Linked DNA regions of Rattus norvegicus. The protein of the gene in region 2 purifies or fractionates together with the protein of the main gene of each other region. This does not show direct contact. Links are inferred from orthologs where the notes say so. Each region holds a gene or a part of one and is shown on either strand. Other genes may lie near its edges.

Region 1 (3,746 bases), on a different chromosome or scaffold from region 2:
GAACCCAGGGCCTTGAGCTTGCTAGGCAAGTGCTCTACCACTGAGCTAAATCCCCAACCCCTCTCTCTCCTTTTTTTTTTTCTTCTTTTTTTCGGAGCTGAGGACTGAACCCAGGGCCTTGCGCTTGCTAGGCAAGCGCCCTACCACTGAGCTAAATCCCCAACCCCTCGTTTCTTCTCAAATGAAATTGGAGATACTATACCTACCTGGGTTTGTAGGATATTGTAACATGGACTCCTAAAGCTACTTTGAAAATTGTAAAGCACTGTATAAACAGATAAGATTATTATAGTCTCTCCAGCCTATAATAAAAACTTAAGGCTAACATCAGATACTTTCTATATTATAGGCATTGTGCTTAGCACATATGTCTCATCCAATCTTTAAAACAACTTTAAGAGGTCGAATACTGTTATTATTCCCATTTTATAGACAAGAGATGTCTCAGGGAAAGGAAGCCTGTGATTTATCCAAAGTCAGGCAGTGAACTAATACTAGATTCCAAAGGCCATACTCATGAAAAGTGGATAATAGATGTGGAACCGGTTAGCAGTGGTGTAAATGATCGACTTTGTATAACTGTCAGATGTGCATGGACAGTTTAAACTCTGGCAGAAGTTGTTGGATAATGACTGATTCATAAGATAAAAGAAATCATTGGATTTTTATTCTAATTTACTAAAGAAAAAAACAGCCTGATTCGTGGCTCATGTCTGTAAATCCCAGCATTCAGGACATCAGAGGCAGGAGAATCACAAGGAGTGCCAGGTTGGCTAGCTTCGGGGTGGGGGAGAGTGGTGGAGAGAAGGGGGAGTGGAGAGAATGAATTACACTTAGTTTCTCCTATATGCCAGTTCCGCATAGCCTCAAAGTGGGGACTGCTTGACATGGTATGTGTGTTTCTATTTGACTTAGTGTGTGTCTCTGCTTGTATGTGTTTGTGCCACTTTCCCTCCGCCTGGATCTCCTGCTTAGGCTGCGTTTTGCTAACTTCCCCACTTTTTGGCGTGTGGTCTAGTCGAGCAGAGCTCTTATCTAGACAGTGGTGCCGCTCCCTTTCTGGTTGCCCTTAGCTTTGCTGGACAGCAGATAGGGAGCGACCATGCAACCACCTCCCGCGCGTGGGCGAACCAGCAACGACTCCTTTCCGCCTCCCGCGGTCTTCCCGCACAAAGTGACGGCGCTGCCCCGCCCACCTCCGCGCGTCACAGAACAATCCTTAAACTATAATTCCCAGAGGGCCATGCGGTGGCGCGCGCTCACTCACTCCGAACTACACGTCCCAAAATGCATCACGCGACCGCGTCTCCTACTACCGCGCAAGAGCGGAACCGCCTTTGCTTTCCGGCTAGTATTTAGGTGAGCGTCGTTCATGGTTGGGAAAGTGCTGAGGTCCTGTACCGAGGTTTCTGTAACGCTTATCTAGATCCAGAGGCTCTACAGGTAAGGCTTAAGGACCCCAATTACCTCTGAGAGATTCCGGCAGGTTTTGATGTTGGAGCTAACTGTGATAAATACTGGACTCAGAATTGTGGTTCAGAAATAGTAATTTACATTTCTTTGGTAGTTTCTAGTTTAATATTTTGTTTTTCCAACTGTGGTCCTTGTTATCCCCGGCACTGTACTCTTAACGGTAGGACGTGTAAATGCCCATCGTATAGCAGCTGGGGAGTTGGTTTTGGTATTAAATGGTTGGATTATAGTAACTACTAGTAGCCCCAGAGCTGGACATGCAACTGTTTTCTGATTCTGAACCCAGTGTCCCATTCTTTGCTTACGATTTAGAGGCTTGTTTCTTATTGGCTAAGGGAGTTGGAGGAGAATGGCCATGTGTTACTTTCTTTTCAATAGTGATGGAGGACTATGCAATTCGAATCTCCTGTTAATTACATCTGTAGGTAGTTTTCTTTTTATGTCCTAGTCATTCATTCACTCTGTATTTTGTTGAGGTGCGCTACTCTTCTACTTACTAGAGGCAGAGGAGCAAACAAAAATATCTCTACCTTCTGGATGTGGGGAGACAGGCTGTAAATCGTGAGTCTGGAGGCAATAAGAACTGTGCAGAAAAAGATAAAGGGACTAAACCATTGGAAGATTTTTGAATAGTGATTTGATCTAATATTTAATTTGGGTTCTAGGCACAGCAGCTCAACAGAAAAGATGAGTGAGGAATCCAATGATGACAAGAAGCCAACGACCAAGTTTGAACTAGAGCGAGAAACAGAGCTTCGATTTGAGGTGGAGGCATCTCAGTCAGTTCAGTTGGAGTTGCTGGCTGGCATGGCAGAGATCTTTGGCACAGAACTGACCAGAAACAAGAAATTCACCTTTGATGCTGGTGCCAAGGTGGCTGTTTTCACTTGGCATGGCTGTTCTCTGCAGTTGAGTGGCCGGACCGAGGTGGCTTATGTCTCTAAGGACACCCCTATGTTGCTTTACCTTAACACTCATACAGCCTTGGAGCAGATGCGGAGGCAGGCAGAAAAGGAAGAAGAGAGAGGCCCCCGAGTGATGGTTGTGGGTCCTACTGATGTGGGCAAGTCCACGGTGTGCCGGCTGCTACTCAACTACGCAGTGCGTTTGGGCCGACGTCCTACTTACGTGGAGTTGGATGTAGGGCAGGGCTCTGTGTCCATTCCTGGTACCATGGGGGCCCTGTACATTGAGCGACCCGCAGATGTGGAAGAAGGTTTCTCCATCCAGGCACCTCTTGTGTATCATTTTGGCTCCACCACTCCTGGCACCAACATCAAGCTTTACAACAAGGTCAGGGAGCTAAGAGGGGGTGGAGGGAAAAGTTACAGTCAGGGTATGAAGTAGGGAACTTTGTTACTTAAAACTGCACAATTTTCTCTCTGAATGTAATTGTTCTATTTTTATTTTTTTTGTGTGATAGTCCACTTGATTTCATGAGAGACCATTTTAAAAGTGTGAGCTTTACACTGCTAAGCATTCGATGACACTGCTCAGAGTAATTCATTATTAAGAGGTAAAACGGCAAGCAGGGGGTGTGCAGACATGGGTCAGCAATTGAGTCTAACACACACCTTTCATTTCAGCAGAGACAGAGGCAGGTAGATCTCTTGAGTTTGTGGCCAGCCTGGTCTCCATAGTGAGTTCCAGGACAGAGTGAGACTGTGTTGCAAACAAACAAAACGACAAAACCAAAAACAGTACTACTGTCGGGGGTCAGAGTTTTCCTAGCAAGCGCAAGGCCCTGGATTCGGTCCTCAGCTCCGAAAAAAAAAAAAAGACAAAATAACAGAGTTTATTTCCCAGTATCCATGTCATGGTATTCCCAGTTGCCTGTCACTCCAGCTCTAGGATAAAGTTAACTCCATGTTATGGGGTTAAAACCACAGTCATTAAAACCATCAATTTTGATGTTAATATATCAGTGAGTATTGTAGCTGATCCCTATAGGACTTGGAAGGCTAAGATAGGACTTTCAAGAGTGTGAAGCTAGGCTAGAGTCTTGTACTAAAACCCTGTCTCAGAAAAGTAAAAATACCGGAGAGCAGGGGCTAAGGTTGCAGCTCAATTGCCAAGCATACTTCAAGGCTTGTGTTTGGAATCCCAGCCTGTACAGTTTTTGGATGGTACCTATTACTGGAAAGAGAAACTTAGATGGATTTAGGAGCTAGAGAGATGGCTCAGTGGTTAAGACCATTGGCTCTCCTTCCAGAGGCCCCTAGGTTCAAGTCCCAGCACCCACATGGCAGTTCATGACTGACTGCAACTCAAGC
Region 2 (3,731 bases):
AAACCCCGGGCAGTCAGTCCTCAGGATTCTCTGTTTGTTTGCTTGCTTTATTGAGACAAGTTTTGTGTGGTCCAGGCTGATCTTGAACCATGTAGGTGAGGATGACCATGAATTCCTGGTCCCCCTGCCTCTACTTCCCGAGCGCTGAGATTTGAGGTTGAGTCACCATGCTTGGCTCCCACTTTTAAAAGGAAACCCGTGAATCATAGCAGAGTCACTGTCATTTAAGGGCCAGTTAGGTCCCACCAAATGCCAGTGGGTGTGTGCAGGGACTGAAGCCAGACTGCCCGTGCTGTATTCTACTCTGTGTGTTAGCCTCTGCAGTGCACAAACCAAAATCAGGAAGCTGCTGCATTTTTAACTGTAAAACCTTGGGCAAAAGTCCCCCAGCTTCTGGGCTTTAGTTCATCTATAAAGGGGGAGAAAACCAGCTTCTCACAGCCATGGTTCCCAGAGTGCTTGGGACTGCACCTGGCAGAGTGGCATCACCCATACATACACTGATGACACTGGATGTCATCAGTTACGGGGTGAGTGCCAGCAATGCCATCTTATAGTCAGGGTGACCTTCGGGTCAGTGAGGCCTGTAAAGGGCCCCGTGAATGACAGCGCTGGGTTAAGTGCAGGGTCCTCTTTGTGGGTCCCACTCAGGCACAGTTTGCATCTGTTCACGGTGGTCTAGGTCTGAGTGAGATGCCACACAGCTACCAACCAGGCAGAGAATTACCTAGAAGGGTCCAAGGAAGCTGAAGACCTCTTTATTCTGGGTCTTACAGAGACAAAACAAGTGTAGAACACACACACACACACACACACACACACACACACACACACACACACACGCAAGTTGAATGCAACACGAAGTTGCTGCCCGCTACCTGCCAGCACAAAGCACCACTGAGCCATGGCCCCTGCAAATGTGTATATTCTAAATGACAGATGCTTCACCAGGCAGGTGGGAGATTTGAACCTGCAGCTGTCTACGGTCAGGTCTACACTGAGAGGTTACAGGGAGCTCTCAGGTCACACGCATAACCCCTCACAAAGGACAGAATGCGACTGATGACCTGGGTGCCCTTGCCCTAAAACCAGCATCCACTAGGCAATAGAGAGTTGAGCCTGAGGAGGTGGGTGGCTTTAACATTTCATGACCATTAAAAAGAAATGATGTGGCAGGAGCCCTGCCTGCTCTTTTAGAGGACTCAGGTTCCATTCTCAGCATCCGCATCCACCTGTAGATCCCGTCCCAAGGATCCAGCGCCTTCTTTTTGGCCTCTGTGGGCACTGCATGCATATTAAGCATAGACAAGACACACAGGCAGGCAAATACTGGCAAAATGAAGGAGGAGGAGGACGAGGAAGAAGGAAGGAGGAAAAGAAAAAGGAAGAAGGAGGAGGATGAAAAAGGAAGGAGAAGAAGGAAGAGGATGATGATAATGATGATGATAGTGGTAATAACTGAAACACCAAGCTTTGGCCACGGTGTTATGACAGCTTCATGGAACTTCTCTCGAAGCTAGGAACTTCAATAAAGACAGAGGGAAACATGGACCAAGGAAGTAAAGTTAGAACAACTGACAAGTGAGTGTCAAAGATACCCATGCACGGGGATGGAGAGAGGCTTAGTAGTTAAGACACAGGTTCAATTCCCAACATGCACATGGTGGCTTATATCCACCTACAACTCTAGCTGCAGGGGATCAGATAACCAAGCACTCAACTGTCACCTGTCATAGTGCAATACATACATGCAGGTATGTATGTATAGGGTAGAGCAGACCAGAACAGTAGTCTGGAGGACTAAATATATAGGCTTTCACTTGCTTCTTTTCCCAGTGCTGGGGATTGAACCCAGGGCCCCGCTCATTCAAAGAAAATGCTCTATCAAAGGAGCCACAGTCCCAGCCCAGGCACTGCTCTTATCCTCACTGTATAAGTGAGAAGGGACTTGGGGGGCCAGGCTGAATGTATCTGCAAAGATTGTTAAGAAACCTGGCCATGCTTGACATCAAAGCACCACAAAGCACATTTCTGTCCATCAAAAGCAAGGCCCATCCTTTATTTTTCCCCCAACCTGCTAGCCTAATAATCATTTAAAATTTTTGGTTTTGCTGACACTTGATCTTGCTATGTAGCTTTGGCTAGCTTTAAACTCACTATGATCTTTCTGCCCCAGCCTCCCATGTGCTGCGGTTAAAGACATGAACCGTCACACACAATGGTCAACCTAACCCCTTTTATATACTCCTCTAAGTGTCAATCGAAGCACAAACCATACAGGAAAAGGTGGATCCGTATAATTTCCCAACACTCTTGGGATCGGGTGTCAAAGAAGTCTCTCTTATGGCAAAACTCACCCGAGTTCTCTTATCATTTTGTTTGTTTGTTTGTTTGTTTGTTTGTTTGAGATGAGGCCACACGTAGCCCAAGCTGGCTTCAAACTTGATACGTAGCTGAGGATAGCTTTAAAAACAGCTGATACTGTTGCCTCTGCCTCCTGAAGTTGGGATTACAGGTGGGCAGTCGCACGCTTGGTTTGGCGCAGTGCTGGGGACAGAAAAACGCTGCCAACTGAGTCCCGTCCCAGCCCTCGTGGGCTCCTCATCATTTGAAAACACACTTGCATCTGTGTTTCCCCCTGCACAGCTCCAGAGCTGAGGTTCAGGGCTGAGGGCCAAGGCAGACCAGCCTGGGTCTGGGACAGATGGCATCTGTCACTGAGAGCGAAATGCTCGGCAGCCATCAGGAAGCTGTGCTCAGCACGCTTGAGTGACAGCCAGCCCCCACCCCACTCACGCCTGAAGCGGTTCACACGCTGGACACAGAACACTAGAGACCGGCCGGCTCCAGACTTCCCGTCAGTCTTACCTTACCCGGCCACGCGCGCCCACGGTTACCCGGCAACCTGGAGGCGGTACTGTAGCCGTCAAGCAGCGCGGCCGCAAAACCAGCTGCGCGTAGCCGCAAAACGACCGGCTGCGTCCTAGCACAGCACGCTTGCGCACAGCACTTCTGACAGTACCTTCCGCCCCATCCCCCAGCTAAATCTAACGAATAAGGCTAAGGGGCCTTTCCCCCGCCTTAATCCTCATAGCATTCCCACATTTTTCTCTTTACTTTTTTTTTTTTTTTTTTTATGTAGTTCTCACTGTACAGCCTTGGTTTGCTTGGAGCTCACTAGCCCAGACAAGCTCACGGAGTTCAAGATGCCTTTGCATCTCCAGTGCTGGGATTAAAAGTGCTCACTGCCTGGAGGTTCCAACACAAGGTTCATTTTTTTTAGAGATGAGATATGAAGCGACTTGTCCTAAAAGACTGCCCTTGACCTCAGTGTGATAGGAGATTTTATTCAGAGTAATGAACCCTGAATGCTATAAAGGAAGATGTACCCACTGGTGTAATAATGGTGTGAAGGTTCAGAGGCAACCAACATTTAAGTGAGTGGATCTGAGGTCTGTTTGTCGGAGGGAATTCATGCTTGGTGTTGTAAACTTAACCAGAAGCCTGTGTCTCAGGACCAGAAGCCTGTGTCAAAGACCTTAAGGAGAACCCAATTACTATTGTCTTGTTAAATGAAGAGATCCAGCTACTTCCAAATATTTTGGTTATACCCACATACAGATTAGTGCTGCTTTCACCACGTCCAGAGAGGCTTTTCTCTGCAGAGGGCAGTGGTGACTCAGTAACAATCAAAATGCTGACTAGTGACTGCCAAGTGCTCAGTCTTAAGC

Evidence for each region. The genes of interacting proteins can lie anywhere in the genome.
Region 1: the proteins of Tsen2 (region 2) and Clp1 purify together in Homo sapiens (affinity purification with mass spectrometry; 3 studies listed by BioGRID and IntAct, counting the BioPlex papers as one, with this or other methods). This does not show direct contact. The link is inferred for Rattus norvegicus from reciprocal best matches to the Homo sapiens genes TSEN2 and CLP1.

The regions. Positions count from the first base shown.
Region 1 is NC_086021.1:90,214,696-90,218,441, reverse strand, and holds the start of Clp1 (polyribonucleotide 5'-hydroxyl-kinase Clp1), read left to right. Parts: upstream 1-1,276; 5' UTR 1,277-1,359; intron 1,360-2,095; exon of another isoform or gene 2,096-2,138; 5' UTR 2,139-2,160; coding exon 2,161-2,766; exon of another isoform or gene 2,767-2,775; intron 2,776-3,746. UniProt on the Homo sapiens protein: Polynucleotide kinase that can phosphorylate the 5'-hydroxyl groups of double-stranded RNA (dsRNA), single-stranded RNA (ssRNA), double-stranded DNA (dsDNA) and double-stranded DNA:RNA hybrids. dsRNA is phosphorylated more efficiently than dsDNA, and the RNA component of a DNA:RNA hybrid is phosphorylated more efficiently than the DNA component.
Region 2 is NC_086022.1:150,274,655-150,278,385, reverse strand, and holds the start of Tsen2 (tRNA-splicing endonuclease subunit Sen2), read right to left. Parts: upstream 2,905-3,731; 5' UTR 2,869-2,904; exon of another isoform or gene 2,358-2,868; intron 1-2,357.